Linked DNA regions of Coturnix japonica. The protein of the gene in region 1 interacts with the protein of each later gene in a pairwise test. Links are inferred from orthologs where the notes say so. Each region holds a gene or a part of one and is shown in the gene's direction. Other genes may lie near its edges.

What was found.
Region 2: the proteins of LMO4 (region 1) and TFIP11 interact in binary tests that used the Homo sapiens proteins (3 or more experiments, as listed by UniProt). The two-hybrid records come from large-scale screens. The link is inferred for Coturnix japonica from reciprocal best matches to the Homo sapiens genes LMO4 and TFIP11.
Region 3: the proteins of LMO4 (region 1) and GOLGA2 interact in binary tests that used the Homo sapiens proteins (3 or more experiments, as listed by UniProt). The two-hybrid records come from large-scale screens. The link is inferred for Coturnix japonica from reciprocal best matches to the Homo sapiens genes LMO4 and GOLGA2.
Region 4: the proteins of LMO4 (region 1) and SMAD4 interact in binary tests that used the Homo sapiens proteins (3 or more experiments, as listed by UniProt). The link is inferred for Coturnix japonica from reciprocal best matches to the Homo sapiens genes LMO4 and SMAD4.
Region 5: the proteins of LMO4 (region 1) and KIAA1958 interact in binary tests that used the Homo sapiens proteins (3 or more experiments, as listed by UniProt). The two-hybrid records come from large-scale screens. The link is inferred for Coturnix japonica from reciprocal best matches to the Homo sapiens genes LMO4 and KIAA1958.
Region 6: the proteins of LMO4 (region 1) and GRHL2 interact in binary tests that used the Homo sapiens proteins (3 or more experiments, as listed by UniProt). The two-hybrid records come from large-scale screens. The link is inferred for Coturnix japonica from reciprocal best matches to the Homo sapiens genes LMO4 and GRHL2.
Region 7: the proteins of LMO4 (region 1) and TLE family member 5 interact in binary tests that used the Homo sapiens proteins (3 or more experiments, as listed by UniProt). The two-hybrid records come from large-scale screens. The link is inferred for Coturnix japonica from reciprocal best matches to the Homo sapiens genes LMO4 and TLE5.

Annotation. Positions count from the first base shown.
Region 1 is NC_029523.1:13,758,191-13,762,415, reverse strand, and holds the start of LMO4 (LIM domain transcription factor LMO4), read left to right. Parts: upstream 1-1,425; 5' UTR 1,426-4,225. UniProt on the Homo sapiens protein: Transcription cofactor. Plays a role in establishing motor neuron identity, in concert with MNX1, acting, at least in part, to disrupt LDB1-LHX3 complexes thereby negatively modulating interneuron genes in motor neurons.
Region 2 is NC_029530.1:6,260,357-6,263,687, reverse strand, and holds the end of TFIP11 (tuftelin-interacting protein 11), read left to right. Parts: intron 1-144; coding exon 145-388; intron 389-722; coding exon 723-865; intron 866-1,023; coding exon 1,024-1,189; intron 1,190-1,491; coding exon 1,492-1,847; 3' UTR 1,848-2,463; coding exon of another isoform or gene 2,464-2,688; 3' UTR 2,689-2,831; downstream 2,832-3,331. Other genes in the region: SRRD (SRR1-like protein), read right to left, coding at 2,464-2,688, 2,925-2,970, 3,121-3,275. UniProt on the Homo sapiens protein: Involved in pre-mRNA splicing, specifically in spliceosome disassembly during late-stage splicing events. Intron turnover seems to proceed through reactions in two lariat-intron associated complexes termed Intron Large (IL) and Intron Small (IS).
Region 3 is NC_029532.1:3,739,813-3,743,312, forward strand, and holds part of GOLGA2 (golgin subfamily A member 2), read left to right. Parts: intron 1-1,283; coding exon 1,284-1,418; intron 1,419-1,998; coding exon 1,999-2,042; intron 2,043-2,173; coding exon 2,174-2,237; intron 2,238-2,698; coding exon 2,699-2,758; intron 2,759-3,199; coding exon 3,200-3,280; intron 3,281-3,500. UniProt on the Homo sapiens protein: Peripheral membrane component of the cis-Golgi stack that acts as a membrane skeleton that maintains the structure of the Golgi apparatus, and as a vesicle thether that facilitates vesicle fusion to the Golgi membrane.
Region 4 is NW_015439872.1:57,673-61,803, forward strand, and holds the start of SMAD4 (mothers against decapentaplegic homolog 4), read left to right. Parts: upstream 1-1,331; 5' UTR 1,332-1,369; coding exon 1,370-1,784; intron 1,785-4,131. UniProt on the Homo sapiens protein: In muscle physiology, plays a central role in the balance between atrophy and hypertrophy. When recruited by MSTN, promotes atrophy response via phosphorylated SMAD2/4.
Region 5 is NC_029547.1:58,584,582-58,588,081, reverse strand, and holds part of KIAA1958 (uncharacterized protein KIAA1958 homolog), read left to right. Parts: intron 1-1,187; coding exon 1,188-2,233; 3' UTR 2,234-2,240; exon of another isoform or gene 2,241-2,662; 3' UTR 2,663-2,753; intron 2,754-3,500.
Region 6 is NC_029517.1:116,638,307-116,641,806, forward strand, and holds part of GRHL2 (grainyhead-like protein 2 homolog), read left to right. Parts: intron 1-704; coding exon 705-816; intron 817-3,500. UniProt on the Homo sapiens protein: Transcription factor playing an important role in primary neurulation and in epithelial development. Binds directly to the consensus DNA sequence 5'-AACCGGTT-3' acting as an activator and repressor on distinct target genes.
Region 7 is NC_029543.1:645,298-649,247, reverse strand, and holds the start of TLE family member 5, read left to right. Parts: upstream 1-1,150; 5' UTR 1,151-1,376; coding exon 1,377-1,403; intron 1,404-1,616; coding exon 1,617-1,714; intron 1,715-3,101; coding exon 3,102-3,165; intron 3,166-3,800; coding exon 3,801-3,845; intron 3,846-3,950. UniProt on the Homo sapiens protein: Transcriptional corepressor. Acts as a dominant repressor towards other family members. Inhibits NF-kappa-B-regulated gene expression. May be required for the initiation and maintenance of the differentiated state.

The DNA of each region.
Region 1 (4,225 bases):
TGTACCATAAATGCTATTTATCACAGGTTTTGGTCTTTAAAACAGAAAGATAATGTTAAAACATTTTCATTATCCTTTCCTTACAGCTATCATTCACAAACCATCTTTTATAATTATGGCACTAGGACATTTACATAACTGGGAAAAAGGTCCTTAAACTACATTTCTATTATGTTTGGCACTTGTGTGAAAGGATATTATATTCATGTGCATTAGAGATTGCTTATAAAAGATCAAGACAATAATAGCAGATCAGACGATAAAGGTTCCCTTTTCTCCTCCCAGACAGGCTGTCTCTGACAGAAGAATACAGTTCATCAAAAGTGTCTGCAGGTTGTCAAACTCAGTGAGATTTGGGGACACTCGGAGGCTGTCATGGCCAACAAGAAGATTTTCTGTAGGGTTCTGCCATCATTCACCCTCAGGAAATAATCACTCACTACATTCTGCATGCTCTCATGATAGAGCTCTATTTGAGAGAAAAGAGCCATTTTATCAAAGGACAATATATCCCTTCTCTTGGTCCATGCAGCTTCCATTATCAGACTATAATAAATCATATTTATGTTCTCAGTTAATAAGACTGATTACAATGCAGGTTACAGGCATGGGAAAAGCAAAGCAGGTGAAAAGATGTTTTAATGAAAATATGATAAGCAAACAGCTTCTTGTGAACATTTCAGGCTGTTATTTGTAATGATCACAGGCATTTTTTGATACATCTTCCTTAGCAATGGTTTAAGCTGCATAAATTGGCTTGCCACTTTATACGTCGAAATAGGAAGAATCCCAATGTCCTTCTCATGTTGTCTGGAATCATTATATACATTATAAGCATAAAATGAGTTTAATGTATGTGCTTTGAAAAGAAGGGGAAAACAGAAAATCAGGGAGGACTGATTTTAATGCTGCTCAAAATGATTTTGAAATTTTCTGCTCATCTTTGTTACTAACGGAGCATTTTCCATGAAATTTAGGAATGACATGTGGTGCTTTCATCTCCTTAAAATTAATATACTTCTCTTTCTGTTTTTCTCAATTTCTTCAAAGTTCTTTTTAGAACACTGTGCAAAGACAGAGAGAAAATTCTCCACTCGATGTGTGAACATATCTGTTATTAGTGCTGGGGGGAGTTAAGTGTGTGCTTCTAGAGGAGAATATAGCTCTGCATTAAATACTGGAGTAAACCCTATTAAAAAGGTGCAGGGATATTTAGCTGCAGCACACCTGATGCATTCAAAGGCCAAATTCCTTGGAATCTTTTAAAGTGATTAAGATCTCTTTTGTTAAGAATTCTCCAATGATTTCAGAATGTAACTGTACCTAAATAGCTGATAAAATGTCCTGCTCTTGTCTTGCCAAAAGCTTTCTTTTATGTTTTATTGTTGCTTTTTTTTTTTTTTCGTAGTCATTTGGTTTATGTTTAGCATCATACTTTCAAGACAAAGTTAAAAATTTAGAGAATAATTTCCTCCTGCTAGCACATAACGCTGACTAAGTACATCAAAATCTACAGCACTTGCAGAATGCGAACATTATGCTTATAATGTATATAATGACTCTAGACAATATTAGAGGGACACTGGGATTCTTCCTATTTTGACAAAGTGGCGAGCAAATGCAGAAGTCTCTGTGGTGTTGTGTGTCTGCAGGAGCTGTTCTGGTCACTGACACTTCTAAAACTCTCTTAAATAAATGTTAAAGCGTTGTAATGGGCCTGGCAATGGAGAATGACCATGAAATTTCCTTAACCCTCTTAGGGTGCTTCAGCAGAAGTGATCTCACAAGAAACAGTAAACTGCTCTTCAAAGGCAGTATCCTGATATGACAACAGATGTAGATAATGCACTTCATGATGGAACTGCTTGATACAGAGAAAAACATGTTGTAACTGCCTTCACCGTGAAAGGGGTTTAAAAATGCTGCCTGCCAACTCCACAAAAAAACAGAGCTGCTATTTCAGTTAAAGGCCAGTGGATTGTATTTTTCATGTCAGTTTTCACTAACCTCAAACATCACTGTTATGACAGACTGTCAACCAACCAAACCAGAACTGTGGTGCCATTCAGGCAAGAAGGAAGAAAGCAAACACAAAGGAAACTTAGAAGTCCAAATAGTAAGAGGGGGTGCCTATGAGTGCACTTTTGTGCAGTGATACTGATTACTGAAAATGAAACACTTAAAAGAAAATAAACCCAAAAAAGTGCTTTCTGAGCCATTAGTGTTTTCTTGCCTGGCAGTTTCTCTTTGTTCTGTTTCATGACATCAGCCTCGGTGGTTGAAAGGGTGTTCTGGGCCAGATGTCAATCACACTGTCTGACATAAACAAAAATAGCTAAAAAGACATGCCAGCATCTTCCTTTTGTTTTCCCATTAGCTCCATTTTTCTTTTCAGAGGCTGACAAAAAATTACTGCCTCCGAGTGAATTCAGTAATGTCACTATATATCTAATATCTAGGAGACCTTTTGTTTTAGCTTTACTGGGCTTAACCACAAAAGACACTTGACATTGACAAAGAGTCTGTCAAATACACAATGATCAGTGCAATGAAATCTCTCATGACAGAAGGGCACTATTCTGCACCCCCAGCCTGCAGCAGCCTGTCTGAGCAAAATGTGCTGGAGCACACACAGCAGCTGAACCATTGCAGAGCAGGCCATAAGCTGAGATGTGTCTTGTTTAAAGTGTCATAGTATATTAGTGTAATTAAAACCGCCAAAAGAATAGAAAAGATAGATGGAAATGTTACATTACTTGTTTCTAGAGATTAACCTCCAGCCAGAACTGAAATACAGAGACACATTTTGCATGTCTTAGAGCTCAGATATGGAAGAAAACAAGCCTGAGAGTATGTCTCTTGAAGTGTGAGACATGAAGTCATAGTTCCTGTATTTACACAATAAAGCAGAAATAGCATTTCAGACAGGCACGCTGTTTTCTCTCTGATTACAGCTCCTGTTGTGGCTGTACTCTGCAAAGCAGCTGTATCATCTCTCAGCTACTTCTATTTTACTCTCTCTGCCTTCGTTCTTGGAAGATCTTGAGGACCCTTGTGCTGGTGTCAATGCCTTCTGCTCCCTTGGCATCTGCCAGAGTTGTGTGGGCCCCGCCTGGAGGCAGAGCACCCTATTCCTGCCGGTGGCTGCAGAAGCCACAGCTCAGCTCCAGGCTCAGCAACACCCAGCTAGGGAGATGTCTGAAGAGTGGCTTCAATATGACCTTTATATGCCAGGCTGCATGCTTGCTTCTCTGCTGATTCTATAGATAAAACTGTATGGCTTTCTGAAGTTGACCCTGAAAATTATGTTCCCAGCACTGCATGTTTTCCTTCCCATGCATCATTACCTGTGATAACTATTCAAGCCTAACTAGTTATGAACTCTGTTTCTAACCATGACACAAGTTAAATCTGTTGGTAAAAAAGCCTTGAAGTTTTTGTGGACCTGTTCTGCTGTATAGTCTGAACCTTGGTTAATCCAGAATCTGGAGAGGACATGATCTGGCTTCAGCAGTTCTGAAACACTGCAAAAGCAGCATGGCTTTCTTCTAACGTAAGCCTTACATTCAAGGAGAAGATGCATTAATCACGTAGGTCTCATGTTCATTTCTTCCACTATAAATGAACTTCAAGGCTTTGCCCCATTAGTTGGTCAGTTTGAAGTTAAGAGATGTTAAATATAGGCCTTACATTTTCGGTTTCCTCATACTTCCTCTATTTCCCAGCTTTAAATATCAGTTAATGACTTCTCCATATAACAGTACTCTTTAATTTCTGGTCAGAGGCTGTAAATGTGCACTGTTAGTCAAAAATATGTTATCTGCATTTAGTGTTGGCTTCTGGAGCCTTCACCACCAAGTTACCTCACAGTCGCATCTCTCTTCACGTGATTTTCCAGGTACTGCCAGGAGAAGAATGGAAAATGACTATGAAATAAAAGCACATTCTGCTCCCATTACAGGCAATGAAAACTGTGCTTTTACTTCTACTTACTCATAATGGTGGGGGGAAAAAATGAAGTGGAAACAAGCACAACAAAACACCTCTGCCAGCTATCTATAAGCTAACCAAGGCTTCCACTAATGAGGTGGTCTGGCATTTTGAGAAAGACGGGTTTTTCCAGAAATGGAAAAAATATGCTGTTTTTTTCCTTCAACTCTGAGAGCTTAGTGAGAGAGTAAGAAATTGCATTTCAGAGGGATAGCAAACTTTTAATGCTCTCAGT
Region 2 (3,331 bases), on another chromosome or scaffold:
CACTGTTTGAATTGTAATCAACTGCAGCTTCCGCAATACCAGCTTGTTGCCTTTGTCAGTGTATTTTGGGTTTAGGGGGTTATCTGCATCTGGGAAGACTTTGTGCCAATAGAAAATTAAACCTCTTTTGTGTTTTGCCTTAAGGTTGAAAACTGGAATCCTTTGACAGACACAGTCCCAATCCATTCCTGGATCCATCCCTGGCTTCCCCTGATGCAGGCACGATTGGAACCACTTTATTCTCCCATCAGAAACAAGCTGGCGAACGCGCTGCAGAAATGGCATCCCAGTGACTCCTCAGCCAAACTTATCCTTCAGCCGTGGAAGGATGTGTTCACACCCGGGTCATGGGAGGCTTTCATGGTCAAAAACATTGTGCCTAAACTTGGTGAGACAACGGAGAGGCATTTTTAATTCTTTTGCTAATGTGAATGCTTTCACTATGAGATTTGCCGTGCAATCTTCATTTAGCCGTGCAATCTGGCTGTAAGGCTCTGATCCAGAAAAGAAGGAAAAAAGCTGAATGTCTTAAGTTTCTCAGTTTTGGCTGTAAATTGTAATTGAGGGAAATGGAATTGCACTGTTTTGGTGGCAGGGATCAGCCAAACATTTTAAAGATTCTGGAAGTAATACGGTGCAATAATCACATATACCTCATTGTGAGATGGGTTGGGGCACTGGTAAGTCAGGTACTCCTTTAACTGTTCTTCTCCTCTTTCCAGGGATGTGTTTGAATGAACTCATCATAAACCCTCATCAGCAGCACATGGATGCCTTCTACTGGGTGATTGACTGGGAAGGAATGATTTCTGTCTCCAGTCTTGTTGGGTTGCTGGAGAAACACTTCTTCCCAAAATGGCTGCAGGTGAGGAACAGGGCTGAATTGTTTCTGACAGTTGTGATTCCAAGTGAAGTGTTTCAGTAACTCTGACCTAATAATTGTTGCTCCGCTGAGTCATAAACAAGCTAATTTACTTCCCTGAATGTACCTATCCTGTTGAATTTGTTCATGTTGTTTTGCAGGTGCTGTGCTCTTGGCTTAGTAATAGCCCCAATTACGAAGAGATCACAAAGTGGTACTTGGGCTGGAAGTCCATGTTCTCAGACCAAGTGTTGGCACATCCATCCATCAAAGACAAATTCAATGAAGCTCTTGATATCATGAACCGGGCTGTCTCTTCCAGTGTTGGTAGGTGGCTTATTGTGATGTATTCACTCTGGACCTTTGTCAGTGTAGCATTTTTTCCTGTGCATGCTCAGATTTAGTTTGGGACTACATCAGGTCCTGTATCTTTAGCTACAGCTCTCTGATTCATCTATGTAGTCTTTGTATTAACAGTAACACTGTGAATGCAAGCAATGTAAATGTATGGAGGATGATTCTGAACACTACAGCTCAGCCTCGCTGAATCTAGCACTGTATGCATCTTGGACTGGAGCTTCCCCACATAAACCTTACATGTGATTTTCACACTTTTTTCTCCCCAACAGGTGGCTACATGCAGCCAGGTGCCCGGGAGAACATTGCATACCTTACTCACACAGAAAGGAGGAAAGACTTTCAGTATGAAGCCATGCAGGAACGGCGAGAGGCCGAGAACATGGCTCAACGAGGCATAGGCATGGCAGCCAGCTCTGTGCCAATGAATTTTAAGGACCTAATTCAGACGAAAGCAGAGGAACACAACATTGTTTTCATGCCCGTGATCGGAAAGCGACACGAAGGGAAACAGTTATATACGTTTGGACGGATTGTGATTTACATTGACAGAGGTGTTGTATTTGTACAAGGAGAAAAGACCTGGGTGCCAACCTCTCTCCAGAGTCTCATTGACATGGCCAAGTGAGGCTCCTGCTTGAAACTGTGAAGGTGATCTTAGTAATGTTTTTCCATGTAACCGTCTTAGAATAAAGACGTTACAGATTTGCAAACAGTGGAACTGCAGCTGGATGCCAGGATTGTTTTCTTGGCTGTTGCAACAGTGTCAAGAGGTGAAATGATACGTAGAAGCTAATGCAAAGGGAGGAAGGGGGAGGAGCAAGCAGTTCCAATGCTTGTGTAATGGCCACTTGTGATACAGATTCAGCAATAATTGTCTCAAACCACTAAACAAGTGAGGGCAGGGCCAACAGTAGATCAGCCTCAAACGCTCCACCAACAGATTTTGCAGCTCTACTTGACAGCGGCAGTGCCCTGGCAGTGGTAATTACTGTCTCAATGGTGTACTCCCACAGCTAACCCGACACTTGCCTCAGCTGCTTAATCAGAGGTTCAGGCTGTGATGACCAGTTTCCCATACAGTGAGTGTAAGTCAAAGTGGAGCTTTTACTTTTATTAAAAAATCACTATGATACAAAAATGTCCCATCTAGCTCAGTGTTCAGGTGCTGCTTTTGGCAGCAGTGCTGTCAGTGCTTGAGTGTCACCTTGGCTGTGCAGGAGGACCGAGGGAAGAGGCAGAACTTAGGCCTGCACTGGAGCAGGGCTGTGCTGGCTCCCTTCCTCCCCCTTCCTGATGATCTCCAAGTCATCACATTCCTCATAAGTCGGCTCCTCCAGGAACTCCCAAGCTTCAGCTGAGAGTCTCTCCAGTTTATATGCAGGGAACCAGTGGATGGAGGTGTCGTTAAAGGTATCCAAGTACCGCGGATGAGCAGGGAGGGCAACTTCCTCCACCCCTTTTAAAACCTAAAGAGCATTTGGAAAAACACAGAGCAAAAGAACTTCTGTGCAAGTTTATGTGAAAGATGGGAGTGTTGTGTTAACTGTGCCCCTCTTTGCAACGTGTTCTGAAGATAATAAAATGGTCCCAAGGCTTTAAAAACAACCACCTTCAGCTTTAAAGTTGTGATTAATGTTGCTTCTCACAATAAGGTGCTGGGTAAATGCAAATAGTGGTGTTGTGTTTAAAAGGTGCTTCTTACCTTTGCAATGTAAGTGTAATCTCTCTCCAATACTCTTGATGGCAGCCTATAAAAAAGAAGAGGTAAATTAGGACCATGAAATTGCCATGAAAACAACTTTTCTCAATGGAAAAGGGAAGAAGAGGCTGCAGCTGTGACAGAAAGAAAGCAAGGAGTGGACAGCAATGTTGGAAATGGGTTGTAGGGCTGTACCTACCTCTCCTCGATGCCCTTAAAGCTGTTGCCAATGATGACCATGTTGGACAGGGCGCCAACAGACCAGTTCTTCCACAGCAGGTTGTTGTACAATGCTTTGCCGCAGTGCACCATATAGAACAGCGTGGGAGACCCATTTATACTGTGCTTTCCCTCCTGGTGGGGGGATAGTATGGTCACAGTGTGGACACAGCTTGGTAACATGGGGTTAG
Region 3 (3,500 bases), on another chromosome or scaffold:
TAAGTGAAAAGAATGTTCCAATCAGAACAAATGCAGGCCGTGTTTTTGAGATGTCCATGCGATGTTCCAAGTTTATGAGAGCTTGGACAAACAGAGGCCAAGTAACCTGTACGTGAAAGAAGCAAGGGAGTTCCTGACTTTCCTTGGAGCCCCTAAAATGTGTCATTCCTTGAGAGCACACATGTCTGTCCTCCAGAAAAACAATGGAGGCAGTTCCATTCGTTCCCCTCTGCAGTTTTCCAGCTCATTACTCTCATTAAATCCATCTTCTCTACTGCTGTAACCCCGTGGCTGCTTGATTCATGAATGAAGTAAAGCAGGTAAATAGGGAATGCCCAGAGAGTTCTTATTTCACGCAGACTGCCAAGAATGAAGTGACTGAAATAAAAGGGAGCTCTTTCAGATGGGTTTGCAGAGAGCTGCAGTGCATTGCTGGGGTGCTGGCTGCAGGAGGACTATTGTTTGCTTTGTAATGTCATGAAATGATGGTTTATCAGAGGTATAAAACTACTTGCCATAAACCAGCAGAACGCTGCTCTGGGTTTGTATGGCTCACTGCATTGCTGGACAGGATGGCTGGAATTGTCCATTTCAGCATGGCTTGGTGGAGGTGTTGTCAGCTGTTACTTATCCTCCCACGAATGCCGGATGAGAGCCTTCATCACTGTCCAGGAATAGTTTTTAGCCCTTTTCTATTTGGATTCCTGTAGCTGTGGGATTCCTGGCTTTGCCAGGGCTGTGGGCACCTGTTTCCAGCCGGGCTCATTTTGGCCTGTTCCCAAATGTCCTGTTCATAAACATCTGGTTCATAGCTTGCTGTTGGAGTTTGACTAACCTGGTTGTCGAGCAATCATTCGCCTGTTCTTCCCCACCTTAATTTGCACCCCAGTGATCAGTGTTTTCCCCAGCCATGCGAAGGGCAGTGCTGTACACAGCAGTGATGCCATCTGCCTTTGCCCCTTGCTCACTTCTTGACAAATCCTTTGTAGAAAATCCACAGTGTGAGCTTAGAATAGGGAGATGCTGTCACCTCTCATTAGAGAAATGATTGTGATGATAGGACGGTTCTTCAGACTGGATCTAGCAGGACATAGGGCTGGGATGACTCTTGGCTATGGGTTCATGCAGTCACCCGTTTGCTCTGGGGAGGACATAGATTCACTTCCACGTGTTTCTCCATTTGTTCACCTGTTTCTCGCAGGCCTGTCGCAAGGTGATGTGTCCGTGTGTGTTTCCTTCGTTTTGCACGTAGGCTGTAATTCCTGTGGTGTGTTTTGTGACAGGCGTACTTTGACAGTGATGTTGCCACTCGTAATGCTGACCAGCTTGCTGCCGATGTCCCCGTGCTATCTAACAGCAACAGCCTGCCTAGCTGTGCTTCTGTCCTGCCTGCTCCTGGGAGCACGCAGCTGACACAGGTTTGTGAGTCATCATCAATATCTCCACACTGATTAGCCATCTTTGTCTGAGAAGGGCAATCCCCATAACTAGCTCACATTGTCTCCTGTTAAATATACCACGTTCTCCACTCTCCATCTAATCGTCATCTGTTTGAGAGTGGAGGATGCTAGCATGCCCTGCTGCTTCTAAAGCTCCGATTCTCTTTCCCTTCTCCCCTATTTAATTAGCAGAAAGCACCCTTAATAATACAGAAGGTCTGCAGCTAGCTGGAGCAATCTGCAATTCCTTTCACTGCTTAAAGATTCCATTGAAGTTTTTCCAGCAATGCACAGCTGATTATGCTGATAAATGGTAGCAGCAAATACAAAGCCAGTAACATTTAAGCCTCTTAATCCCAAGAAACCTGGGCACTCGGTGCTCAGAAATTATGGGCAAGCTGGGAAATGAGCTGGTTTCTGAAGTAGATCTCTCTTTGGGAAGCAGTAATTACAGGTGCTGTGGAACCCGAGCCCAGATGCAGTCAGGCCTTAGGACACATTCACAAACATGATTCCCAGCTTTTCTTACAGGCTTGTAAACTTTTGTTTTAATCTGCAGATTCATGAAGCTGAGGATCGTAAAAACGCTTTGGATGAGAACAGGTGAGTGTTTGAGTTTGCAGCAGGAGCCCAAAGTGTCCAACAAATAAAAGCTTCAGTGCTCCCCGCTGCTTTACTGACTGGATCAGTTCTCTTGGAGGAATGTTCACTGTGAGGTCTGTCTTTGTTCCCAGGTCTCTGTCATCAACAGAAAGCCTCCGCCAGCTGTCTGAGCAACTCAATGGCCTGGTTTCTCAGGTACAGCCTCATTTTGGTCCATCTGTCTTAATAATTTTTGGGGGGGTCTGATGAGGATCTTTAAGCAGCCAGCTTAAGAAAACACTCTTCGGTGTCAGAGATGCCTGTGGTCATCCTATTAAACAATGAGACATTGAAGCATTGAGAAGCTGAACTCCCAGCTTTAGGAATGTTAAAATTCCAGCAGTAGGAAGAAGAGCAGAGTGGGTGAACGAACAGCATGTATTCATGGCAAGATGTACTCTTCATTTAGTGGCAAAGAATCTGAAGTCAATCTGCATAATTCAGCTTGCCACAGGGGCAGCCTGCATCTATCCTTAGCCAGGGAAGTGTTTTTTCTGTGGCTGTCTGAGGTACTTGGAAGTGAAATGTGCTATAAGAAGCATTCTGATAGTTCTTACTTGATAGTGATTTATTGCCTGGGGGAATAAAACTGACTGACTTGACTATTTTTCTTCTAGTCTACGTCGTATGTGAATGGGGAAAGTGGTGTTTCTTCCACTAATATTAAGGAAATGGAAGTAAGTTGTCCTGAGCCTACGATTTTCTTATTTTCCAGTCTAAGTCATTCGTTGGGACTGTGCTAATGAGACCTGACTGAACACACAGTTCACGTACACTGTTGTCCACTGTTGCCTTCTGCTGCACTCAGGTAGTTGTGATCAGCAGGAGCGGGTATTTCCAATATAGCTGAGCTATTTCTGGGGGGCTGGGGATCGTTTGGCCTCAGTGCAGCTCTTAGTTTTGATTCACTTTGATGTCAAAAAATGCCACAGCAGAAAGTACAAAGAAGTTAATGTCCCAGCTGCTCTTGTTGGATCTGTAGATTGATTTGGGAAATCTGATTTAATTAAAGTGTGATAATGATTTATTTTTCTGTCCTTTTTAATTATTGCTTTTTTTTTCCTCCCCTCCTCCTTTTCTACCCCTTCCTTCTTCTCCTGCCTGCATGTGCCCATCAGACACGTTACCAGGAGCTGGCAGTAGCCCTAGATTCCAGCAATCTAACTAACAAACAGCTCATTACAAAGATAGAGGAATTGGTAAGAAACGATCCAACCAACCAGTTTGATATTGTCTCTGCTGCTCCTCCATGCTCTCTGGGTGTCTGCAAGGTTACGGGTTCACTTATACCACAAGGAAGGCTGCTTTCATGGCACTCTGAGTGGAACAAAATGGGCTGTATGGGACATTTGTTAGGAAGATCAAAGTCTCAGGTCACTGATGGATGCATTGGCTCATCTGAGAACAAGAAGCACAGTT
Region 4 (4,131 bases), on another chromosome or scaffold:
CCGCTCCCCGTTGTGCGCACGCAACATGGAGGCGGCTCTTAAGGCCGCGCCGCGAGTGCCCGGATGTTGCGCATGCGCACCTCCAAACCCGGAAGTGCCTTCCAGATACCCGTATGTAACTCAAACCCGGAAGTCCCTCCAAATCCCCGGATGTACTGCGGGTTCCCAACCCGGAAGTCCCCGGATGTAACTCAAACCCGGAAGTCCCTCCAAGTCCCCGGATGTCACTCAAACCCGGAGGTCCCTCCCAGATCCCCGGATGTACTGCGGGTTCCCAACCCGGAAGTCCCCGGATGTAACTCAAACCCGGAAGTCCCTCCAAGTCCCCGGATGTCCCTCAAACCCGGAAGTCCCTGCAAGTCCCCGGATGTACTGCGGGTTCCCAAACCCGGAAGTCCCCTCTAAATCCCCGTATGTAACTCATGCTCACTCCCAAACCCGGAAGTCCCCTCTAAGTACCCGTATGTAACTCAAACCCGGAAGTCCCTCCCAGATCCCCGGATGTACTGCGGGTTCCCAACCCGGAAGTCCCCGGATGTAACTCAAACCCGGAAGTCCCTCAAACCCAGAAGTCCCTTGTAAGTCCCCGGATGTAACTCAAACCCTGAAGTCCCTCCCAGATCCCCGGATGTACTGCGGGCTCCCAACCCGAAAGTCCCCTCTAAGTACCCGTATGTAACTCAAACCCGGAAGTCCCCTCTAAGTCCCCGGATGTACTGCGGGCGTCCAACCCGGAAGTCCCTTCTAAGTCCCCGGATGTAACTCAAACCCGGAAGCCCCTCCAAGTCCCCGGATGTAACTCAAACCCGGAAGTCCCTCAAACCCGGAAGTCCCTTGTAAGTCCCCGGATGTCCCTCAAACCCGGAAGTCCCTGCAAGTTCCCGGATGTACTGCGGCTTCCCAACCCGGAAGTCCCCTCTAAGTCCCCGGATGTAACTCAAACCCGGAAGTCCCTCCCAAATCCCCGGATGTACTGCGGGTTCCCAACCCGAAAGCCCCCTCTAAATACCCGTATGTAACTCAAACCCGGAAGTCCCTCTAAGTTCCCGGATGCAGAAGTCCCTCCCAAATGCCCGGATGTAACTCAAACCCGGAAGTCCCTCCCAGATCCCCGGATGTACTGCGGGTTCCCAAACCCGGAAGTCCCCGGATGTAACTCAAACCCGGAAGTCCCTCTAAGTACCCGTATGTCCCTCAAACCCGGAAGTCCCTCCAAATCCCCGGATGTAACTCAAACCCGGAAGTCCCTCCCAAATCCCCGGATGTACTGCGGCTTCCCAACCCGGAACCCCCCCTAAGTACCCGGATGTGCTGCGTCCCTCCATCTTAGCGGCCTCCATCGGGCTCTCCATCGTTCCCGGTGTCCGCCATGTCCATCTCCACCCCCCCCAGCAGCAACGACGCGTGTCTGAGCATCGTGCACAGCTTAATGTGCCACAGACAGGGAGGAGAGAGCGAGACCTTCGCCAAACGAGCCATCGAGAGCCTCGTTAAGAAGCTGAAGGAGAAGAAAGACGAGCTGGATTCTCTCATCGCCGCCATTACGACCAACGGGGCTCACCCGAGTAAATGCGTGACTATACAACGTACATTAGACGGGAGGCTGCAGGTGGCTGGGAGGAAAGGGTTCCCCCATGTGATCTATGCGAGGTTATGGAGGTGGCCCGACCTGCATAAGAATGAGTTGAAGCACGTCAAGTATTGTCAGTACGCGTTTGATCTCAAGTGTGACAGTGTGTGTGTCAACCCGTATCATTACGAGAGGGTGGTGTCGCCTGGGATCGGTGAGTACAATGGGGTCCTATGGGGTCCTATGGGGTCCTATTGGGGTCCTATGGGGTCCTATGGGGTCTATGGGGTCCTATTGGGTCCTATGGGTTCCTATTGGGGTCTATGGGGTCGTATTGGGGTCCTATGGGGTCCTACAGGGTCCTATGATATAATGGGGGGAGATACGCAATTTGTGTAAGGGAGGCCATAGGAAATAATGGGGGAGATACGGAGTTTGCGTAGGGGAAGTTACGCAATTTGCGTAAGGGACTAGGGAGCCAATGGGAGGAGTTACGCAGTTTGCGTAAGGGCGGGGGGTTCGATAATGGGAGTTACGGAGGTTGCGTAAGGGAAGTTACGTAGTTTGCGTAAGGGACTATGGTGGTTAATGGGGGGGGAGTTACGCAAACTGCGTAAGGGGCTTCTATGGAGTCCTATTGAGTTCTATGGGGTCCTATTGAGTTCTATGGGGTCCTATTGAGTTCTATGGGGTCCTATTGGGTTCTATGGGGCTCTATGGGGTCCTATTAGGGCCTATGGGGTCCTATTGGGGTTCTATTGGGGTCTATGGGGTCCTATGGGGTCCTATGGGGTCCTATTAGATCCTATGGGGTCCTATAGGGTCCTATGGTGTCCTATTGGGGTCTTATGGAGTCTGTGGGGTCCTATGGGGTCCTATGGGGTTCTATGGGGTTCTATGGGGTCCTATTGAGTTCTATGGGGTCCTATTGGTTTCTATGGGGTCCTATTGATTCCTATGGGGTCCTATTGATTCCTATGGGGTCCTATTGGTTTCTATGGGGTCTTATTGGGGTGTATGGGGTCCTATTAGATCCTATAGGGTCCTATTGAGTTCTATGGGTTCCTATGGGGTCCTATTGGGGTCCTATTGAGTTCTATGGAGTCCTATTAGATCCTATGGGGTCCTATGGGGCTCTATGGGGTCCTATGGGGCTCTATGGGGTCCTATTGATTCCCATTGGGTTCCTATAGGGTCCTATTGGGGTCTATGGGGTTCCTATTGGGGTCCTATTAGATCCTATAGGGTCCTATTGAGTTCTATGGGGTCCTATAGGGTCCTATTGAGTCGTATTGGGATCCTATTAGATCCTATGGGGTCCTATTGATTCCTATGGGGTCCTATTGAGTTCTATGGAGTCCTATTGGTTTCTATGGGGTCCTATTGATTTCTATGGGGTCCTATGGAGTCCCATTGCATCCTATGGGGTCCTATGGGGTCTATGGGGTTGAAGCACGTCAAGTATTGTCAGTACGCGTTCGATCTCAAGTGTGACAGTGTGTGTGTCAACCCGTATCATTGGGGTCCCATTGGATCCTATGGGATTCTATGGGGTCCTATGGGGTCCTATGGGGTCCTATGGGGTCGTATTGGGGTCCTATGGGGTCCTATCGGGTCGTATTGGGGTCCTATAGGGTCCTATGGGGTCCTATTGAGTTCTATAGGGTCCTATGATTTAATGGGGGGAGATACGTAAATTGCGTAAGGGAGGCCATAGGAAAGAATGGGGGGAGTTACGCAATTTGCGTAAGTGAGGGCTCAGGTTACGCAATTTGCGTAAGGGAGTGCGGTAGTTATAATGGGGGGGAGATACGGAGCTTGCGTAAGTGGGAGTCGGGTTACGCAATTGACGTAAGGGAATAGGGGTTTATAATGGGGAGGAGTTACGCAATTTGCGTAAGGGACTACGGGGTTTATAATGGGTCCTATTGGGTTCTATGGGTTCCTATGGGGTCCAATGAGGTCTTATGGGGTCTATGGGGTCCTATTAGATCCTATGGGGTCCTATTAGATCCTATGGGGTCCTATGGGGTCTATGGGGTCCTATGGGGTCGTATTGGGATCCTATGGGGTCCTATTGGGTTCTATGGGGTCCTATTGAGTTCTATGGGGTCCTATTAGGGTGTTATTGGGATCCTATGGGGTCCTATGGGGTCCTATTGGTTCCTATGGGATCCTATTGAGTTCTATGGGGTCCTATGGGGTCTTATGGGGTCTATGGGGTCCTATAGGGTCCTATTGGGATCCTATGGGGTCCTATTGGGTCCTATTGAGTTCTATGGGGTCCCATTAGATCCTATGGGGTCCTATTGGGGTCCTATTAGATCCTATGGGGTCCTATTGAGTTCTATGGGGTCCTATTGAATCCTATGGGGTCCTATTGGATCCTATGGGATCCTATTAGATCCTATGGGGTCCTATTGATTCCTATGGGGTCCTATTGAGTTCTATGGAGTCCTATTGGTTTCTATGGGGTCCTATTGAGTTCTATGGGGTCCTATTGATTCCTATGGAGCCCCATTGGTTCCTATTGGGTCCTATAGAGTCCTATTGGATCCTAT
Region 5 (3,500 bases), on another chromosome or scaffold:
TGCAATTAGACAGACAGAGCAAAAGAGAACTTTCCGTTTTCCCTCTTCTTGATAACTGAGAGAAAAGGAATGTTCCATTTACAAGTGCAGAAAATAGTCAAATCATTGGAATTTTCCTTCTTTACACATACTGCTCATCATTTTCTAAAACCATTAAGGCTTATCTTATCCATAATGACAGTTCTGCCTGTGTGCTTACAAATTGCATCCTTGTAAAGACAGCTTCCACATGCCAAGAAAACAGTCCTTAAGTACATTCTTCACTTCCATGTAAAAAGCTTTTCCCTTTATGCTGATGACCAGCCTGAAAATTGTTTGTCATTAAGAACCATCTTTTGAGTCGCATCTGGAAGCTGTGGTTTGATATGTCACTGATTGCAATGACCTTTGAATATAGTTTTATGGAACAATATAAAGTTGTTTCCTGAATTTGATTTTTTTTTTTTCCTGCAAAATGAGAAAAAATACTCAGGATTGTGCTTCTTCTGTCAGAGTATGGCTTGATTATATAGAGGAACTGTATAATCGTGTTAAGTGCTGACAGTTTTATTTGATATTTTCTAATGTAAAGTATTGCATTAGCTTTTATTCTTGTATGTTTGTAAATTACACATCACTGGGTTGTACCTGCTAACTCCTTTCTTAGGATGTGCTGCATTATTTTGTAGTGTGCATTTCTATCTATATTTATTGGCTCCTTAGAAAAGTGTCTAATTAAAGGTAATTATAATATCACAAATTTAAGGCTTTGGTGATTCTTCATAGAAAAATATGTCAGAATGAGTACAGCCCCTTGTTTCACAAATGAGTCAGTTCGCAATGGGCTCATTACTCAGATGGGGCTCAGCATGTGGCACCAGAGTCTGCTGAAACACCTTGCATTTGTTCTGGAAAGCAGTTTGCCTCTAATTAAACTACTTTCCACTGATCTCTGTGCACAAAGTTGTGTCCCAGTGCCGTAAGGAGTTCACTTTGTGCCGCATTCTAGCTACGTCATTTGTAGAACTGAAGTTGATTTTTCAGTTTTGTGGCAAGTATGTAATGATGGTTTCAAGTGTTCTCTGTGAAATTCATTCTCATTTCTGTTTGTTCATGCTTTTAAAGGCAATTTTCTTTGGGAAAAACCTTTCACACAAGCTCACTGCTCTTTCTGCTTTGTTTTGTCCTTTTCCTTCTCCCTCTTCCAGACCAGGATGAGAGAGCAGCAGAGCTCAGCAGGGAGCAGAACGAGAAGACCATTCGCAGCACACAGACAGCTCTCCGCAATTTCCGGGAGTTCCTCATCTCCAAGTATCCCTCTGAGACCCGGGAGATCTACGTTATCCCCTGCAAAGAGCTCGATGCCTACCTTGCTTCATTCTTTGTGGATGCCAGGCAGAAGGATGGGTCTGAATATGAGCCAAACAGTCTGGCTAACTATCAGTGTGGGCTGGAGCGTTATCTGAAGGAGCACAGGTACGGATACAGTATTACCAGGGATAAGGAGTTCAAGAGGTCCCAAGAAGCCCTAAAACAAAAGCAGATAGAGCTGAGGTGTAAAGGTAAAGGAAACAAGCCACACAAGTCCATGAAGCTCACCTTTGCTGATGAGCTTATCTTGCGCAAAAGAGGCTTGTTGAGCCGGTACAATCCCGAAGGGCTCTTGAACCTTGTCTGGCTAAACAACACTAAGGCATTTGGACACTGCACAGGTTTTCATGGGTCCACCCTCAAATGGGGAGACATCCGACTGCGGGTGACAGAGACTGGGTTGGAGTACCTGGAGTGGATGGGACCGGACAATGGAGATATCAGTGCCAAGAGCAAGAGAGGTGGGACAGACTCTCGGGTGTATGCCACCCAGCACTCCCCACAGACCTGTCCTGTGCAAGACTACAAGGAGTATGCCCAGAGGCGGCCTCCGGCCATGCGCTATGAGGATGCACCTTTTTACCTGTCAATCAAACCTGTCGTCAACCTGGCCGCCCTTCACTGGTACAATTGCCAAGCTCTGGGGAAAAATAAGCTTGCCAAGATGGTAAAGACAATGTGTGAGAAGGGCAACATCCCTGGTAGGAAGACCAACTTCAGTGTCTACCAGAGCTGTAGCACATTGTCAGAAGCTCAGAGCAACCAGCTTGTGCTGATCTGCAATAACTTGAGCCAGCAGGCTGCCCAGTCCATGGCAAGCCATACCAATACTGGCAACTTCATAGTGTCAGCATCCTATGACTCTTCCTCTGACACAGCTTGAAAGAGGGGTATAACCTGGACAGATTTTTCTCTTCTGTTTTGTTGCAAGTGTTGAGTTTGTGCCCAGTAATACACATCAACTGTGATTGTACACTACTCTCCCACAGCCCTCTTTCCAGTGTTAATTCACTTTATAAAAATATATAAATCTATAATATATTTTTCTTTTTACAGATAAGTCAATAGAGATAGTTTAGTAATACTAACATAGTATTTATAGTGTTAATACAAAAATGAAAGTTGCATATGGGTTATAATATAATTGTAGATTTTAAAAGGACAAAAATGGTTCTCAGGCAACACAAGATAGACTGGAAATACCCTTTTTAACATGCACACATCAGTGACTGTAATTCCCCAGTGAGGCTTACGTAGCAATTCTGTTTTAAAGCATTTTTTTTTCACTTCTTATTTTAACATGGCCTCCTAGAGTGGAGGAGGCAAACCTACCACTGGCTGCTGCTTCTTACCTGCTGGCTTGTTCTTGATCAGAAATACAAGGAGATAAGAGATGCATCAATGTAAGTCTGTGAAACCATTTACAAGAAGTTTTTTTGTTTGTTTGGTTGGTTGGGTTGGGGGGGAGAGGGGGGCGTTGTTTTTTGTTGCAGTTTGTTTGTTTGTTTACTGAGGAGTATTTATGCCAGAGGGAAAAGGAAATCCTGAAGTCAGCAAAAGACTTTTTTTAACTTTTTTGTTGATTTTCTGTGATCAAAGCATCACTGATCTTTAGACTAAAAAGTATTGTTTTCAACAGTAAGCAAGGGTATGTTGGCAAAATCAGTGGTATACACAGTTTTAACTGTTTAAGCACCGGTCATTGGTGTTTTGTCACCGTGTGTACTTAATATAAAATCTACTGACTTTGATCCACTCTTTCAGTATTCTTGGGGATGTAGGTGTGCAGAAAAATCCATTATCTTATCCCAGACCATCCAGATAAAATGCATCAAATCTGTCCTAAGCCATTATTTGAAATACGCAAAAAAGCAAACAAACAAACAAACAAAAACCATAGGGAGCACAAAGATAGTTTTTTATTTTCTACAGAAGATTAAAAAGATGAGTAGTTTTAAGCACTGGAAAACAAATCAAAATCACCTACGTGTAATCTGTTTTCATTGCAGACAATGGAAATCATGTGAGTGATTTTTAAGGCAGAATTTGGTCCTCTAAAGACTTGAAATAATGAATACTATTGTTCCAAGATTTGACTTTGTAGCATAATTGTTCTATGTGTATGGGGAAAACACTAACAGATTCAGTGT
Region 6 (3,500 bases), on another chromosome or scaffold:
ATGTGCAGTTCTGTATAGTGTTTCAGTCTGTTTCCCTTGAACGATAGTTTTAAACAAAGGGAATTCAGAACTTGAACTGAAAAGCTCAGTGAAATCCAGTAAATATTCACACTGAGTTTGTCATTACGATCATATATGCAAGAGTCTTGCTCCTAAGAGGAACATTTGGACATGTTAAAACTGTATATTCATGGAAGAAGGTGAAGAAAAGCACCAACATTGTCACCAGTCATGCTCCAAGACTTACATTTTGTGGAATAAAATTTGCTTGAGGTTTTGGTTGTTGCAGGAACTTACCTACTACCTTTTTCTGTCAGGACATAATTATGTTACCCACAGAAAGCTTCTCCTTTTAACTCCCCAAACACAAAGATACCAAATGAGACTTCTCTCTGAAGTTTTTATTCCTCCATTGCATTGTCACCAGTATCCCATACACAGCTAAACTGCCCTTTGAAAATGTCCTACCTTTCCTCCCAGTAATCCAGAACTCCAGAAAAACACAACCATTATTTTAAAACTACGTTTCTTTAGCTGTGAGATTTTCCATGCAATTATAGTACTGGACTGCAATAAAAAACAGTGATCTTTTACAATCCAAGCACTGTGGAAGGGCAGGGACTGAGTCATCATTAGAACTGTTGTGTTTCTGACTATTAACTACAGATTAACTATAATGCACCCTCTGCTGTTTATTTTCTTAGAGCGTGGTCATGGTTGTTTTTAGTGAGGATAAAAACAGAGACGAGCAGCTGAAGTACTGGAAATACTGGCATTCCCGGCAGCACACAGCGAAGCAGAGGGTCCTTGACATCGGTGAGTATGAGAGGATGTTTTGGAGAGGACAGTGCGGAATTCTCTGGTGCCTTTCACAGGGATGTGGTGAAATATGTTGGCTATGGCTGCACCAAACTTTTAGCAGTCACTTGTCCCTGCTAGGAAAGACTGTATGATCTATGAAGCGGGAAGGAGACCTTGCAGATGAACAGTCCTTGGCAGTCATGGAATAAAGCTTCTTCCTGCAGATGTTTTTAACAGTGTTCCCCCTTGCTGGGAAGTTGGTGTCTGTGCCTTCAGGCACAGGGCATTTCCTTTTGCTTCCCTATGACTGATCCATTCTTCAATCCACTACTGGCCCACATAACAGTTAAGTCAGCAAATCTGATAGAGATGCTTCCAGGAAGATCTAAATCTTTCAAGTCTGTGTTGCTGCAAGGACCTCACTGTTGTGTACGTGGAACCTGAGTCTTAAGATGGCCATCATTATGGTGACTGCAAATAAGCACCCAGGACTACTGCATCACCTGTTTTTGAGCCTTGTCAGTGTCAGAGAGAAGTGAGGGAGAGATGCTGAGCTCTGGTGAGCTATACTGGGAGACCTGTTTACTGTTCATCCTGTCTAATTTGCAAGCCCATTTTGATCAGAACTGCTCTATCTGCGTGCTTGGGAGATTTGAATGGAGGAAGAGCACGTACCTGCTGCAGAGGAGCCTAAAGTTGAAATGTGTGGGAGTGTCTAGACATTAAGCACTTCTCCCCTCCCACATGCAGTTTACACTCTCAGCCATCTGCAGCTGATCCCAGTCAAAGGAGATGGTGAGACTAAAGCAGACAAAGTCTATCTTGTTTTCACTGCCTGAGGGAACCAAACCATTGAATGGCAAGAATGAGAGGGAGCAGGGGGAGGGAGGGAAATGGAGAGAACACTCAGGAGTGTATTGTAGGACTTCATGGGGGACCAAATGCCTCCTGCACTGGGAAGTGGTCCCAGAACAGTCCTGCTCATACAGTGCCTCTTGACTTTCAAATGTTGCATCCTCTACTGAGGTTGACATAAATCAGGTCAAAACCACTGGTCTCTTATTCCAGCATCTCCTCGTTACCTTTTGTCTTCTTATGGTTCTGGCTGAACAGTTTCCCCTGAAGAGCAAAAAGGATTCTGCACATCACCCCAACTTCTGTTTATTACCTGTGGGGGTATTTAAGGCAGTGAAACCTCCACCCCAGCCCAAATGACTCCTGTCATGACACACAGTAAAAGAGCCAATATGTCATGTCACAGCTGTTTCTGAATGCTGCCTTTGTGCTAGTCCCTACAAGCTTACGGTACTAACACATACCTTTGAAGGGATGTGCCAGAGGGCTCCTTCCATTACTATGCCAACACCTTCTGGCACTGCCACATCAGTGTTTCATTTGTGGTGTGCAGCACACATCAGTCCCCGTACCCAGAAACTCAGCTTATGATATATATTTTGTAAAACAATGCTCTGAGCTGTGTGTTTACCCACGTTAAAGCGAATGTCTTTTATGTTGCCATTAATTTGAGATTAAATAGATCTGTGCTGACTTTTGAGGCACTGTGGCATGTTTCCTTTATTTGGACTGCAAATATGAGCAAAGTGCGATGGAGTAGGCGTTCCTGATTCGGCACTCTCTGTCAGACCTGAGAACTGTAAGAGCACAGTTTATTCACTTCAGCTCTTTCAGATGAAAGGCTTGAATGCTGCTCAGGTACTGCCATCTTGAGAACATCTGAAATCCAGCTTTAACTTAACCACGTACACTGTTTTTAAAGCACATTTCGTTTCCCTTAGGACCTGAATTGTGGATGTTGTTAGGATATGATGGCCCCAAATGCATCTCCCGTATAAGCATCAGGCACCATTTAGCAAAATCTTCCATTTTGTCTTATGGGTTGATCTAAACTGACTTTGCTTTGGAGGACAGGCTTGATACTGCTAACCTCCAGAGTCCCTCCTAGCCTAAATTGTTGTGTCATTCTATGCAGATTTTCTTTTGAGTTAAGAATTCAGCCCAAGGTACTAGGAGAGCTTCTGTAAAGGATCAGTGCATTAATGGCCACACCCTGTGTAGTAACGGAGAGAATTAGGTGTTCATGAGCAAGATTAGCAAGTAGCAGGATACTCCCTGGGGAACCATTTAAAGGGCGCTGATGGAGTTTTGCTAAGGGCAGGGGTGTGCATCAGATCTGTCTCATCCTCAGAGGATGACCTGATGATGTCTGCTGGTAACCCCACTTCTCTGTTCTTTGAGCTCTCACTAATCAGCAGGATACACAGGGTTACACAGCTATTAGGCACCTTTCAAACTATATATCTGGGAATAGCCATTAACATGTATACTTTATTTCACAAAGTTTATAAACATTGATATTATTTTAACTTAATATTTGTAACATATGTTTAACATCTGCGAGTCCATTTTAATTGTTTATGAGTGTGCTTCACATCCAAAGCATGACTTAGCAGAAAAAGGATTAGATGAATATGAAATATTCTAGTTCTGGAGTCCAACTATTCAGTCCTTAGGCAGGAATGACTCTGCTGCTTGTGCTGTTTCCTCAGTGGTGCAGGTCTGCTAATCTTCTTTCTGTGTACCCTGGAGACAGAGGCAATAAGGAGGTTTATTCCCTCACTTTGGACATGCAGGAGTTACTCCTGTATTTGTTTTGCATACTGTCTGGGGCTCTTTTTGAT
Region 7 (3,950 bases), on another chromosome or scaffold:
GCTGTGGGCATTGCAAGTCAAAAACTGAGCCCTGCATTGCAATGGTGGGGTCTGCACTGTGATGGTGAGCCTTGCACTGTGATACTGGGGCATGCAATGTGATGGTGAGCCCCATAATGCAATGGTGAGCCCCATATTGCAATGGTGAGTCCTGTACTGTGATAGTGAGCCCCAAATTGTGATGGTGAGCTCCACACTGCTGGGGTGCTCAGCTCCTGCAGCATCACATCAAGAACCATAAGCAATAGGTGAACAAGGAACGCCAAGGGCAGACGTGTCTGGCCCATCTGGTGGCCTCCATTGATGGCATTGGTGGACAAAGGAAGGGCACAGGCTGCAGTTGTGCAGGGCCTTTGCACGGCCCCACACTGTGCCCATTTCTCTCAATAGGAGAGAGGTGGGTTTGAAGGGTGGGCTGTTTGGTGGGTAAGGAAGTGGTTGGATGGTCATAGCTTGGGATCTGTGGTCGTGGTGGTCCTACAGACCCCCCTGCGCTGCAACTATGGGGGGGCAGAGGGCAGGGAGGGGACTGTCCCGTCTGCTCAGCCCTTGTGGGGACCCACCTGCAGTGATGCATCCAGGTCTGGGATCAGGCTGTGGGATGCTCTGAGCTCTGAGCACCAAAGATCCTCTGCTATGGAAACGTGCTGATGGAGCAGCCATGGAGGCTCCGGGGAGACCTCACTGCAGCCCTCCAGTACTTGGGGAGGGGGCTTACAGGGAGGAGGGGGAGTGACTTTTACCTGCCTGATAGCAATATGGTGATGGGGAGAACTGGATGCCCTTTAAGGCCGACCCCACTCTAAGCCCTTCTCGCACCCACGATGCCCGCAGCAGGTGCGGGGCTCTGGGACACAGCGCAGACCCCAGACCCACGGAGGGTCCCACGGAGCGGGGTCTGAGCGGCACCGGGTCGGGATGGGTGGGCGTGGGGGGGGCAGAGCATCACGGCTGGGGGGGGTAGGAAGGAATTGGGGGGGGGGGGGCAGCTGGGCGCCCCCCCCCCCCCCGATCCCGGGGGGGGGGGGGGGGGGCGAGGGGGGGGGGGGGGGGGGAATTGGGGGGGGGGGGAGCAGCTGAGCGCCCCGCACCGCCCGGATCGCGGCGGGGGCGGAGACGGCCGTGGGCCCGCCCGGCCCGGGGAGGCGGCGGCGGGGCGGCAGGTGGTGCCGAGCAGCCGCAGGACGGAGCGGATCGCAGCCGCCATTAGACAATAGGCGGCGGCTCGGGGCACAGCGGCGCGGGGCGGCCGCGGGGCCGGGCCCGGCGCGGACAAAGGCGGACGGGGAAAGAACGGAACGGAGCGGAGCGGAGCGGAGCGGAGCGGAGCGGGGCGAGGGGACCGCTGCGGGCGGTGGAACGGGCTGCAGCCTGACATGATGTTTCCACAAAGCCGACACTCGGTACGGCGGCACCGGGAGGAGCGAGGAAGGAAGGAAGGAAGGAAGGAGGGAAGGACGGGGGGGAGCACCGAGAGCCGCCCCCTGCCCGCCCGCAGCCACCGGGAACCGGAGCGGGGGGTGCGGGTGACCTTGGGCGGCGGCGGGCTGCGGTGGGGGGGCGGGCAGGGCTGCGGGCCCCCCATTGGGTGTGCAGCGCTGTGTGTGTTGTTCAAGGGCTCCTCTCACCTGCCGCAGCAGCTCAAGTTCACCACCTCCGACTCGTGCGACCGCATCAAGGACGAGTTCCAGCTCCTGCAGGCCCAGTATCACAGGTACGTGCCGGTACCGCCCCCACCGACCGCCCCGAGCATCCCGGGGGGGTCCGCAGTGCGCCCGGAGCTGGGATCCTCCGCTTTGGCATCGCTGCCCTGCACGGACCGGGACGCAGCGTGGCCAAGAGATGGGCTCCGTGCGGCACGACGCGCTGCCCTCCCAGCCCAGCACAGGTTTACCCCCAGGCTCAGCCTCCCCAGGCCGGTATCACCTCCAGGTCCCACCTGGAGGACCGATGTGAGCATCCCAAGGAGGGGGGGGGGACGCCCGGTGTGCACCCATTGCTGCCTTCCTTTCCTTTGGCCACGCAGTTCGGCCCAGAGTTGGCCAAAAGCTGCAATCCAGGCAGGGAACGCTCTGCTCACTGCCCAAAAGGTGGGATTCTGGAAGGAGAAGGAAGGAGAACGCTCTGCCTCCCCCACAGCCAGGTCTTACCCCAATGCAGGACTCCATGCACAGCTCTTCCATCCCTCCATCCATGCACAGCTCTTCCATCCCTCCATCCATGCACAGCTCTTCCATCCCTCCATCCCTGTGCAGCTCTTCCATCCCTCCATCCATGCACAGCTCTTCCATCCCTCCATCCCTGTGCAGCTCTTCCATCCCTCCATCCATGTGCTGCTCTTCCATCCCTCCATCCCTGTGCAGCTCTTCCATCCCTCCATCCCTGTGCAGCTCTTCCATCCCTCCATCCATGTGCTGCTCTTTCATCCCTCCATCCATGTGCAGCTCTTCCATCCCTCCATCCATGTGCAGCTCTTCCAGCCCTCCCTCCTCTCGCTGGGAGTTTTCCTCCCCTCTCCCTGCTGGCTGCCATTCTTGGCTCACAAATGCTGCAGGGAGCACTTAAAGCCAAATGCTTCCGCTTTTCCGCCTGCGGAATGGCTTCTGCTGACCCAAAAGCTGGCTGCCGATGGGCTCTCTTGCTGTTTGCTTCCTAGCTGCACGCATGCACCAAACCATTGCTCCGTGTGTTGCCCTTTCCCTATTGCTCCCACCTCCCCGAGCTCTGCATCGTGCAGCATTGTGGCCCCCCCTTGCAGGACCCGATCTGCTCACAGAGCAGCAGGTTTGGTGGAGGTGAAGCTGTTTCTTGTTTGAAACATAAAACCAGCACATGCTGCTTGCAGCTGCCGGGCTGGGGAGCTGCACAGAGCACAGCGAGCAGCACGTCTGCTCTTAAGGGTGCAAAGAACCCAAAGGAAAGGGGGAAAAGGCATCATTCCAGAGGCCTGCACTGCACCTGGGCTTCCCCAGTATAGGAGGATCTGGTTGCTTTGCTGAGCTGCACTGGGCACACAACAGGCTGGGATGGACCCTGCAGGATGCAACCCAGGATGCAACCCGCTGCCCTGCTGCTTCTCTCACTGCTTTCTGCCTTTGCAGCTTGAAGTTGGAATGCGACAAACTCGCCAGCGAGAAATCGGAGATGCAGCGTCACTACGTCATGGTGAGGAGCTGCCGGGGCAGCGCGTGGGTGGGGAGCAGGTGCTGCTGCTGCTGGGCTCGTGCAAACGGGGCTCCTCGTGCACACAGGGCTCCTCGTGCAAACAAACAGAGCTCCTCGTGCTCTGCACCCTGTGTGTGTGCTGGGTCGGTGGGTGCAGGATGGACATGCAGGGTGTGAGCAGGGAGCTGCTGTCTGTGTGCAGAGCTGCTCTGCTGCTTGAGCAAACTTGGAGTGCTCAGGAATTGACTTCCCGTGCCAATAGCTTGCACTGGAGCTGCCTGTTGTGTGAGGGGGGTGGGTTATTTTGCGTGTGTGTTTCCTGCAGCTCCTTCCCAAGCAGCTGGAGCTGTGTGCAGCTGGAGCACAGGGCTGAGCCCTTCCATTTGCTGCCGGAGCAGCCACGTGGGCGTTAGGAGATGGGCCAGGCACAGCAAACAGAGCCGGGCTGTGCCTGTTCCCAGCAGAGCACTGAGCTCTCCCTGTGATGCCAGGGCTCTGTGAAGGTGCTGAGTGGGCTCTGGGTTAGTTGAGGTCCCACCTGGGCTGGGGGCAGCAGGAAGGTACAGATGTGGGGGTCTCTTTGCATGCTGGAGTCCTCATCGTGTCTGTTTGTTCTCTTCTTCCCCACTCCGCAGTACTACGAGATGTCCTACGGGCTGAATATTGAGATGCACAAACAGGTATTGGGGGGGGTGGGCTGCCTGCTGTGCCTTCTGTCCCTTCAGTGGCATTTCAGGATGTCAAACGTCAGCACTGATTTTGGGATCTCCAGCTCTGGCATTGGG